Linked DNA regions of Coturnix japonica. The protein of the gene in region 2 binds, or shares a complex with, the protein of the main gene of each other region. Links are inferred from orthologs where the notes say so. Each region holds a gene or a part of one and is shown on either strand. Other genes may lie near its edges.

The links. Proteins that work in one complex are often made in the same cells at the same time.
Region 1: the proteins of CNNM2 (region 2) and ARL15 are in contact, whole or in part, in a crystal structure (PDB 8F6D), measured with the Homo sapiens proteins. The link is inferred for Coturnix japonica from reciprocal best matches to the Homo sapiens genes CNNM2 and ARL15. Residues at the interface, in NP_060119.3 of Homo sapiens: Asn490, Val492, Pro521, Leu522, His523, Phe524, Val525, Phe526, Thr529, Glu537, Lys542, Ser543, Gln549; in NP_061960.1 of Homo sapiens: Tyr92, Ser94, Arg95, Gln98, Gln128, His129, Pro130, Gln131, Cys133.

The regions. Positions count from the first base shown.
Region 1 is NC_029547.1:17,991,093-17,997,353, reverse strand, and holds the start of ARL15 (ADP-ribosylation factor-like protein 15), read left to right. Parts: upstream 1-2,661; 5' UTR 2,662-3,060; coding exon of another isoform or gene 3,061-3,072; intron 3,073-6,261.
Region 2 is NC_029521.1:20,566,045-20,571,607, forward strand, and holds part of CNNM2 (metal transporter CNNM2), read left to right. Parts: intron 1-287; coding exon 288-425; intron 426-2,513; coding exon 2,514-2,683; intron 2,684-5,563.

The DNA of each region.
Region 1 (6,261 bases), on a different chromosome or scaffold from region 2:
AGAATGAAAACTGCACATATAAAATAGTGACTAGGAAATAAGTATTTTTCTTTCTAATTGTAAATGCACTGCACCATCAAATTTGAAATACTGGAATTGTAGAAGACAAAAAGGTCTTGTAGTTCACCCTCATGAGATCAAAATCAGTGCTTACTAAAACACTCAAATATTTATGTAAGCCTCACTCACTCACAAGAATTCTACAGCTTCTAGTAGATAGGTCTCTCCGTGACCAAACATCCCAACTCTTGAAGTGTTTTCCAGCGTCTGATTTAAACTTCACATGTTGCAACATAAACCGATCGCTTTCTTTACCCACCACCACATTCTTAATATAGATTCCACTTTCCTCTCAAACAGCTCTAGAAGAAAGAACTCTCAGTCATTGCACATTCCTCTACTGTCATAAGAAGCACTTCAGAAAGACTACTTGTTCCTAGTGTTCTCCTTTAGACTCTCCTCTAGTCACCCACTGTATAGAAGTTGGGTCCAAAAGTGATTGTTCTCAGAAGTGACATGGCTAAGGAAGAAATGGTTTTTTACAGGTTAAAGGGAAAACATAGCAAAAAATTATTTGATACAAAACAGAACCAAAACAAATGAACAAAAAAACACCCCATGCAATGACAGAAGATAGATTTTGTAATGCTATTCGGAGACATCTTTTAGCTACCCCTGTTCAGCCTGTATAACCACTGTCAAAAGGGCATCTCGTGATCAGCAGAAAGTTGCCAGCAATGGCCATGACTATAAGGGAAACAGTCAGAGCACTGAACAGCAGGAAGGGCCAGACCTGTATCCCTTCTGCCACTTTCCAGCAATTAAAATGCTAAAATTAGCATATGGCTTAATGAAATGTAAACAATTTCATTTGCACTTGTCTACATTTAGTTTAGGCTGCAATGCCTATCAGACATCAATTTCCAAAGTAAACTGATGAGAGTCAAAGAAAACATTTTATTTATTTATTATTATTATTTATTTATTTTCAGATCAAACATGACTAGAAAGTGAATTATCTATTAACAAGGCCTCCCTGCCTTTTGGGCAGGGCAGGGTGAAAACACCTTATCAACACACTGACACCAGCTGGACCTGGACGTTGTGACTGAACCTTTCTCGTGATGTTGCAACATCACAAAAAATCAGAGCAGAAATCGCTGCCCTCTTCCCCTGCCCTTTGCCAAATCTAGGCCATCTACTCCCTGATATCCTTATAAACATGCATTCCTGATTGCTCTTGAATCCTCATTCACTCATACACTCCCCTTTCCTTCATATCTGCTCCTGCAGTGCACTTTTATTTTCTAAGTCATTTCATCTGATAGTCTTTCAGTTTCACATCCCACAGTTGTATTAAGAAGTCACTTTGAGTTGTGTAAAAGCTTACAGGTCAGATGTCAGAGTCCATTATGGAATATTAGTGTTGCTGTCATAAGTGGTTGGGAAAATTATGCTTTATGAACAATTTCTTACCTGCATATATCAAATTTATCAAAGACATGTTTACTCGCAGATTCTGCTGAATGCAGTTGAGTTGTTTTCACCTCGCTAAGAAAGACTGTTTCTAGAAGTTAATACCAAAACTCCTATTTGTTCTCATCGGGAATAAGTAATTATTTGCAAACTTGATTACTCTTTACTCATTACCACATTAGCTTAGAGAGGGTGAAAGGTCCTTCATGCTGCACCACCCCCTTCCCACTGGGAGCAGACTTCAGCATCAGAAGTGGTAGTGCCAAAGAAAGACACCTGGTTCTCAATGCACCTGTCTGCACTGCTGCCTAACACTAGAAGCACAAAGAAAGCGAAGTCACAAGTCTTAAACGCTAAAGTTCACAGGTGCCTGCAGTCCTGCTCCCAGGCATCCCTAAGATGAGGTATCTTGCTTTTGTTATTGTTACGAGGTATGAAGCCTTCAGCCTTCACACATCTCTTTTCAAAGATGGCTAACAGCCCCTGAGCTGCCATAGACCTAATCCCGACCGGTGGTCTTGGCTACGCTGCTAATATCACTGTGGTTGTATACCCCAAAGTCTCAGCCGACCACAGGATGCAGCTGCACCCCGCTGCAGCCAGGAGCTGACAGCTCACTGCCCCACACTGCAGGGGAGCTCTGTGCCCACTGCCCTGACATAGGAATGCCAGCAGGCCAGCCTGGAGGCCACCATCTGTCCTGCCATTCTGTATGGAACAAGCAGGACCCAGCAGCCGTTCGCTGAACTCAGAGCCCACTTCCGAGCACCAGCCAAAGGCTGCGAGTACAGATGCCGCTCCTTCCCCATGTGGCCTTAAGTTCTCCGGAGTGCGTTTGTGTTAGACATTCGGGCTTTTTACCTACAAGACATACAGACCTTTGGGATTTCCATTTCGAAGAGATTAAACGGCTCCTGCGCTGAGCAGAGGAACGGGGCTGTCGCATCGTGCCGAACCCTGCTACCTCTCTGCAGCGTTTGACCCCAGCGCCTCTGAACAGAGAAAGTCAAGTCAGAGCAGCACGAGGTGTTCGGTGCCTCACGCCTTCCTGCCGGCACACAGCACGGCCCACATCCCCCGCCGTGCCGGCAGCTGCCGCCCTGCACGGCGCTTCGCCTTTAAGAGCTCGGTGCGGCGCCCCACGTGTGCGATCAGCTGATCGCGACGTCGCTCGGGGCGGGGCGGGGGCTCCGGCCGCTGCTGCGGAGCGGCGGGGCGCTGCGGGCGCGGGGCGGGGGTTGGTTGCGCTGCCGCCGTGCGCCCTCCTTCCCTCCTTCCCTCCTTCCCTGCCTCCCGTCTCCTCCTCTCCGTCCCTCCCGGCTCCTTCCCTCGCACCGAGCCCTCCGCGCGCGCAGAGCAGCGGCAGTGACAGCCCCGCCGTGCAGCGCCGGCGCCCCCGCAGCTCCCTCCCCCTCCTCCGCTTTCGGGGCGCCGGCGGCCGATCCCCCCCTCGGCTCCGTACCTGGCGGCTCCGGCCGAGCCCCCCCCGCGGCCGTTCCCTGCTCGCCATCGGGCAGGAAGCGCCGTTCCCCGGCGGCGGGGCGCGCTGTCAGCGGGCGGCCCCGCGGAGCTCCTCGGCGGTCCATGGATTACCTGGTAGGTTCACCCCCACCCCCTGCCCGCGGGGTGGGCGCGTCCTCCGGGGCGTGCGGCCGCCCGCTCATTTGGCCGCTATTAGATCGCTAACGCCGTGACCCGGGCCGCGGCTGCGCTCCTAAATGCACGGGCGCGAGATACGGTTGAATGAGCTAAATTGTCACCGCGGGCACAGCGGCGTTTATGGCTCCTTAATGAAGATTGGCCTTACCGGCCGCCGAGATCCTATCGGGCGCGCTGCCGGCGGGGTCGCGGCGAGGGGCGGCGGCCTCCAGCCAGCGCTGCACCTGCGGGCAGCGGGACGGAGCGCAGGGAGCGGGCTGCCCCTTCCCTGTGCTTTCCCTTCCCTGTGATGAGTGAGGTGGAGAAGGTGTCCGTTTGTCCCCCTGCCCGTCTGACTTAGAGTTGCTCAGGGACGTTCACACCGACAACAACTCTGCGCTTTCCTTCCTGAGTATAGCAGAACAGAAGGTGAGCCCTACCTGGCAGGCAGGCTGCTCTTTAAGAACCTGGTTAATGAAACACTGATAATAAACTGCTGTGCACCAAATGCAGCCTTGCAGCTCCATAAGGGCCTGTTCCTGTTCCTTGGGTTTTTCCTTTATAACTTATGTCCAGATGGAACTGGCCGTAGTGTACTGTTTGCAGTCAGCGTGTTAATCTTCATGGCTGCCACCTGCTGTGTGGATGCCCAGCCACCTGAGAACCGTGCATTTAATAAGACTTGGTCATGGGGAGCGCATTCCTCTGTTCACTGGAGGGAGGCAGGGGTTGAGTATCTCTGCGTTGCTTTTTTCCCTTGCTCTTTCTACCCTGTTAGTCCTCTTCCTTTTCTTTTTTTCCTTGCTGTTTTGTGGGCTTCTTTAGTGCTGTCTCTTAGTTAAAATAAATAAATAAAAAACATAGCTGTGGCCTCAGTCTTCATGAAGTCCTTGCTTCACGTTTCTGTTGCATCAGGGAAGGTCTTTGGCGCCAGGCTTATCCCAGGCCTGATATATCACATAGTGCCATGTGAGATGTAGGGGCTTGCTTTGCTGCAGGAGTTGCTACAAATCAGCTGTTTTTATAACAGGAAATACAGCATTGGGAATGACAGCTTGAGCAGGCTGCTGGTACCTCGCAGTTCAGGTGTCTCTGTCCATCCCTGGCCACCAACTGTGGCCGGGGTTAACATCACTTCTCATATGCAGGAGGACTCCCTTGGAGCTTTGGGATGCTTGCTGCAACTGGCATCCACACAGCTGTAGACCAAAACAGAAAAGAAATTCGGGACACTTTAATTCTTATGACTGTGTACTACTTGGAATGAAAACAAACTCTGTTGAACAGTATTTTCTCATAGTTCCAGTACTTGTTTTTGCCATCTGCAGGAGATTGGTCCTCCTTCCTTTCTCTGTTAATGGCAGCAAATTGAAAGGCTCTGGCAGAAGGAGTTGGTGGGGTGAGTGAGGAACATAGATCTTTACAGTCCTGGAGGACCACAGGGCTCCTACAGAATACCTGTTGCTCTGATGGGCCCACTTCTCATGCAAGACCAGCAGGAGCAGCAAGGACATAAACTGTTAGGTGTAGAACCTACATGCCCTGGTTATTTTCATGAAAATAAAAGTGGTGTATGTTAAGAAATCTTTGAGTTATTGAGCTTTATGCATTTATGTTGGTGTCTTTCACCTGTGTAGGCTTCAGCTGCTAAACAGAATATCGCTTGCTGGTTCTTCCCATTGGATGCACATGTTGGAGCCTTAGGGGATCTTCCTGCCTGTGCAGTGCTGCTCTTCCTGGCTGCAGGAAGACAGTTTTGCTGGTGAGACAGGGAGCTCAGCAGAAGAAGGCTGGGACATCTGAGGTCAGAGTGGCTGCAGCATGGGCTTTGGGGAGCCCTTAGCATGGAGTTTGCCCTCACCTGTCACTTCCTATACTGATGTAGGACTCTCATTTTCCTGGTATCTCAGGATGAGGCCTGCTCTGGTGGAGGGTTTGTTCTTTAAGGAGCTGACGCTGAGAAACACTGAATGGATAAATTACTGGTATTAGGTGAGCATCTTCTGCTGTGCCTGGTTTGGCTTTGCATTGTAACAGAGCAGTCTAAAGTATCTGGAAGAGGTCCTTGAGCCTTTTGTATTGGTGCAATTACAGGGTTAGGAGTAGTGTTGTTTCTGTGTTCTTATTTTAATAGGCATAGATGAGCCAAGTTCAACCTTCAGAAGAAAAAAACATCTTCACTCTCTTAAAGGTGGACTCCTTTAAAACCTCCTGTGTGAATGCAGCTGCATGAGCACACAGCAGCAAGAGTTCTGTGACTACCTAATCCTGCAGTGTGTCTGCAACCATCTTCTAATTCATTCTTGCTGCTCTGTGTCCGGAAGAATTACAGTGCATACACAGACTTGTGTTGGCTGGCCTATGTTCTGTAGACTATGCTTAATTCATGACATTATGTCATGATGCATCTTGTGAAAAGTATGGCTTGTAGCCAGTCTGACCGTATTTGCTTAGAGAACCTGTAGGGAAACAGTGGCAGTGCTTCAGTTTTCATGTGTAGTACTTGCAGTACAGATCTTAAGCTGATGAGCAGACTTTCACAATACATTTCTTTAGTGGCATCCTCTGCATTAGATAATGATCTTACACTAAACAGTTGCATGTATCAGCCTGATCTGTGATGAGCCTTTAAAAGCTGTTTTAGGGGATGATGTAGCAGTTAGAATCAGTGTGGGTTGAGGCTGGGGAAAGTTTTTACATTGCCCTGATAGTTTGTAAAATGTGTAGGTTGCTCTGAAAGTAGTGCCTCGTATTTATTTCCATAGAGATGGTAACAAATAAGAAGAGCACAATAACACTGCTTGAGAGAGCACATTCTCAGCTACAAAACACTGTTTTTCAACACTTTGGCAATGATGAACAACAGTCTGAGCACCATGCTTGTAAAAATCTGCATGGCCATCCAGAATGTGACTTGTCTTTCACATCACTGTTACCACTGCTGAAATGCACCACCCATCACCTCACTGTGCTCACATCCACTGCTTGGTCTCCATAAGTGTTCAGCAAGCATCAGTGAATGTCAGTGGGTGCCATTTTTTCCACATGGAGGAATTCAGTGACACACCTTTGCTCTACACACACCTCCATCTGTGACACCATTTTGCCAGAGCGTCCCTCTGCTGCCATCCATCATACAGCAACAGC
Region 2 (5,563 bases):
ATGCAGAACTGCTCTGCAGTTAGATGCTTGCAAGCAGTCACTTCTCTTCTATTGAGATAACAAAGTCTGTGGGTTCTGGGGTCTGAGCCTGTGGCTCAGGTCACGATTATTTCTAGTTTTTAAGGTGTATAAGCAAGCAGGGCTCTGCATGTGTACCTCAGATGGGTCTGTCTGCTCAGTTGCTCTGGATGGCTGTCCCTGCTGGCTCCATCCAGCACAGTTCATGTTGGACCCCATTCTAACAGAAATCGCTTCCTTCCTTTCTTCTCCCACCCTCCGTTCCCCAGCTGATAACAAGACGAAAAAGAAAGTAGCTCATCGAGACAGGAAGCAGGACTTCTCTGCCTTCAAGCAGACAGACAGCGAGATGAAGGTTAAAATATCACCGCAGCTCCTCCTGGCAATGCACCGCTTCCTGGCAACAGGCAAGTGTGGATTATCTTGTTTCACAAACGTGCCAGAGCCTCGGAGGCAGTTGGTCAGCAAAGGCCGGTGAGGCGGGTGGGACAGTGCAGTTGGGAAGGGAGGCTGGACTGTGGGGTGACAAATAATGCCACTGTTGTGTTTTTCTTTTTAAATTCTCTCCTCTCCTGTGTTCAGTGTCGGCATGAACCCTCTGAGACATTTACCAGGGGTGGACCAGTAACTTTAAATTGGTCTGAAAGGTAAGGATGAATGCCAAGTGCCGCACTGCATGTGTAGAGTCCGTCAGATTAACGACTAGCAAGCTCACCCCATTAGGAAGAGCTCAGGGAACAAACTGCAGAGGACTCGATACCGCTGGCCAGCTGACTGTAATTGCACTCTGGCACTTCATCCAGAAAGAGATGCTGGATTTTTTGCAGGACGGCATAAGCCTGTTCCATGAGACTTGTGACTTGAAGTGAAAAACTCTCAACACACTTAATGCAGGCTGTGCAAGAGGTTCAACTGTACATTTAAAAGTGGATTTCTTGCTGGCTTGCGTGACCTCCGTTGATGGCTTCAGAGGACAGTTGTCCCCGTCTCACATCACCTTGATGCTTTAGCCCTTGTGTGGGCAGTCTGGCAGAGAGGCCCGGGGCTTGAATGCTGACATTGCCTTTCATCGTAAAGTTGGTCCCTTCACCTCAGGGATGGGACCTGTTAACATGAGAGCCTGTGGAAAGCAGACCTTCCTATTGCTCATGTTGTCTCTCTTTGGCATATAACGACTTCTCAATATGCAGGTCATTCAGACATGCATCTTTCACTTCTATATTCGTGGACTGAAAGTGATAAAGTTCTGTCTCCGGTTGGCTAGCTCAAGCTGGAAATTAATGCTTCCCCTCCTCTAAGATACAGTAACTGTGTGCCTAGATGCTCTCAGTCCACCTTCATGCTTTGTTCTGCCTCTGCAGCTTAAATGTGTGTGTGATCAGTTATTGCATCTCAGCTGGGGGGCCGTCAGTCCTTAAAAGGCTCGGATTTCTGTGGCTCACGTGCACGTGAGCATCTCCTTGGTGAGAGGAAACATTGCTACAGGAAGATGTGGATTTATCAGCAAGCAGAGCATTGTTCACGTAGTTGTATAAGACTCAGAGGAGTTCCCTAAGCACCTGCTCAACAGACATAGTCTTGTAGTGCTGTGTCTCTGCTTGTTTTGTGGATAAGAGAACTAACTGTGTAGCTTCGAACTGCCAGTGCTTCGAAGTGGCACTGCGGAATGAGATGAAAGCTACAATTTTGGGTTATCTGCTCTAGTCTGAGAATAGTGTCTCTAGCAGGTGAGAGGTGCTGGGTCATTAATGGTCCTGTTCTGAAATGAGGCATTAGGAATGCTTATCAGTTTGCATGTGTGAATCTCGATGTCCCTGGTCTAACTCTCACACAAGGATGAGCGTTTTCATTTCTTGCAGCTGTTGTTGGCAATACTGATGATTGAAAAGCTGGTGGGTAGGGAACCTTTTCTGTTGTGTCAGGTATTAATCCCACATGGTTTGAACTGACTTGCACTGTGCATCACTTTGAGTAACTTCCCGTGTGAACCACGGCAGCTCAAATCATGTCTTCAGATTATGCAGAGTATCTATCTAGAGTAACTTTCAAGGCCCCAGACAGTGATTTTTTTTTCTAACTTTTATTTTTTTTAATGCAATAAATACAGTAACTTCAATACATTCGGAGGAAGGAAAAATTACATCCAAAGGTTCTGTGTACCCCAACTGTAGAGCTCTTCCATTTACAACTCTCCAGTGAACCTGTTCAACTGTGACTGCACTCTCACATGGGCAAGACTGCCTTCCTGTGTCTTTTTTCTTTCAGATGAAGACATGCTTTTGGTGGTTGTCGTTTGTTTTATAAATACTTCATTGGGGTGTTCTTGTTCTTTTCCCCTTACAAATTTAACAGTCTTAAGAGACAGGAAGCGTGCAATTCCATAATGGATCTCCCTGCATCTGTGTGTCGTTTATGGGCAAATGCTTATTAATGAGTACTGCTAACTTCTTGCCAGGCGTATGAAGTGTAATGCCTACTTGTATCTTGTGTTATAGAAGTAGAAGCCTTTGGTCCATCCCAGATGTCAGAGAAGATCCTTCTCAGGCTGCTAAAACATCCCAACGTCATCCAGGAGCTGAAATTCGACGAGAAGAACAAGAAAGCCCCAGAACACTACCTCTACCAGCGAAACAAGCCTGTCGACTACTTTGTTCTCATTTTACAGGTCAGACACGTGGTTATGTACTTGATATGTGCAATATTGTGCATCTCCTGACATATCACTCTTGATATCTCTTCCACTTGTTGAAGTTTGTTGTCTTTCAAGTGTGGGACTGGAGCTTTGCTCATGGAAAATGCTTGTCTCCTTCATGATCTTGCCACACTTCAAAGAGCTCATTCAGTTGCTTTTAGCCCCAGTTAAACCTGCTGTGATATCTGCTGAAAGTTATTTGTGCTTTAGGTGTTACAATGCGGAAGAACCCTGGTGTGCAGTTGGCACTGCTTGTAGAACAGGGTATGAAAAGCCTTGTGTCAGTAGGAGCTTGGCCAGGATGCTTTCCCCAGTGGATTTTTCCATTTGCAAAAGGTGCCATGGGGAGTTTGACAGTTTGGGAAGAAGGCATTTCTTCTGTGCAGTTTTGAAGTCCAGAGCCTTTGGTGCTGTGATAAATGCAGGTTTCTGTGGGGCCACTGCACCATCTGCTGTAGGTACAGCCTCCTGCCGTAGCTCTGTGCTACCTTGGGCACCTGAGCTCTCGCTCTGCACTGAGATCATTGCCTTTGGGTGGGTTTAGGTTGCAGCCCTGAGGGAGGTGGGGAAGGACTGATTTCCGTTTGTTCACTATAGGGTCACTTCCAGTGCTGATCATCTCCCAGGGTCCCTTGATACAGAAACTTAACTCCCATCTAGCACTGTTCAAGCAGTAACAGTCTTTTAAATAAGAGACATGTTGCTGGAAAGGTGCTTATGTTGTCTTTGAGGGTAACTGAAATGAGTTTTGGTTATACAGGCAAGAGCACTGCAACTGAAACTGTGGCAGAGGACTTGAAACCTTCCTTTCCATTGCTTCTAACAACAGCAAAATGGTGAGGGTGTTAAACATCATCAGTGATCAACAACAAAGAAAGCACTGGAATATGATGATGTTGATTCAAGATAGTTCTCTTAAAAAAGAATTTGTTGCTTTTTCTTAAAGTGTTTTTTTAACTGCTGGTTCTTGTGTTCCGATTTGTTGCAACCTGAAATATTCCAGAAGCCAGACAGTGCTCCTGCATGAGGTAATGCTGCAAAACTGTAGCTGGAGGACGTGTACGATACAAAAGAACAAATGGTTCTTTCTGAGCTATTCTTCAATCAATAAGTATTTAGTAAAAACACTGTGCTAAGTCTGTAATGCTTTTGGAAAAGGGAGTCATGCAGTAGGGACATATTACAAAAACATTAAGTCTTGGTTCTGCAAGGATCGGTGGATCAATACTCTGCTTCTGTTATTTAAATCATCTGCTCTGGAGCATCTTCTCTCACCTGGAGAGATTGAGAGTACCTTCACAGTAAATGATACCAGAACAGAAGCAAATGTGTGTTTTTTGCATTAAGTTTGCTAGTTTAATCTCTGGAGTTACTGTTGCAGATGGAAAGTCACCTCTTTGCAGCAGTTTTTCTCTTAGCTCCTGGGAAGCTCTTCTGTATTGGTTTGCTTTTGTCATTGTGTTCTTTCAGAATTCCCATTGGAGCATTAAGCAGTACAAACCCAGAAACCAGAGGTGTGTACACTTCAGCAGCAGAGCACATCTCATAGCATACATGGAGAATCCTCACTGGCTCTTCAGCTGCTGTGGCAATGCCAAGCATGTGCAGCCTTCTTGTGGCCACCACTGGGAAGTGCTGTGTGTGCTGACAGCAGCGCTGGAACTGAAGCTCTGCTCTTAGTGCTAGTTACAACCTTGTTGTTCTTTGGGTGCTAACACCAGGCTGACTGTATGTGAAGATCAAAGCCTGTTTGCATATTTGTTTTAAAGACCTGGCCTTGGTTGGTAGGGAACTACCAATTATGAACAGAGTGAGAGCCCTGTTTATAACCAGTCTTTGCCTGGGTGACCAACAGGTATCTAAATATTGGTATTGTGGAGTGAAATTGATTTTAAAAGGGACTACATGAAGTGATTGGTTTTGATAGCAGGAAAGTGGGTTTGTGAGTTAAGCATCCTCTTTCCACGAGGTAGATGCCATTTTTTTCTGGTCTGGAATGGTTAGAAAAACTGACTTGACATGGGGTCACACAGCCTGATTTCTTTCCCATGTTTTTCTGCCCTGATACAGTGCTGTGAAATTAAACACATGTTTAATTAATATTAATTGCTTTTCGAACAGTAAGCACGTAGAAGTAAAAGCTACCTTTTGGACTTGTTTTAACCTGATTGTGTCCATCTGATGGTCAGTTCACTTGGTACATGTAGCGTGGGCAGTCTGTCTGCCCTTTCCATTGCATTGCAAGTAATTATGTTGTCTGCCTAAAATCTCAGCCTTCATGTAGCTCAGCTTGAAAGCTGCCTGAGATGGCTTCTTTCTGCAGTTAGGTCCTGTAATTCTCAGTACAGTACCAGTAAGGATGGAGGGGAAAACCAGATCCCACTAAGAAGCGAGTTATTTCTTACTATTTATATATCAAAATAACTGGGATATTTACTGCTACATTTGATATTGTAGTTTCTCTTCTAGAGTTGTTTGTATGATATCAGTATCTGTTGTTAAATGTTTGGTACAGACCACATCAGAAATGGGTACATTGTGTGGTAGGGTGGTGTGGAGCCTGGGAAGCTCTGAGGGTTTTTCTAAACAAGATCCTTCTCTTTTTGCAGAGTCTTAATTTCAGGGTGCTGGAATATGTAAAAGTGCCAGAAACCAACAAAATCAAAATAGCCCCAGGATTGCTGCATCAGGAATAAGGGCCTTGATTCTGTGGGAATCTCATCGGGGAAAACAAATTCCATCTGAGATGTTGTCTTCCATCTCCATTTCCCATATTCATGTTAGAAAGGACTTGATGTGAATGTGAGCCATGCCCTCAAATGGCTTCTCAAGACCCCAGATGACTGGGTGCAT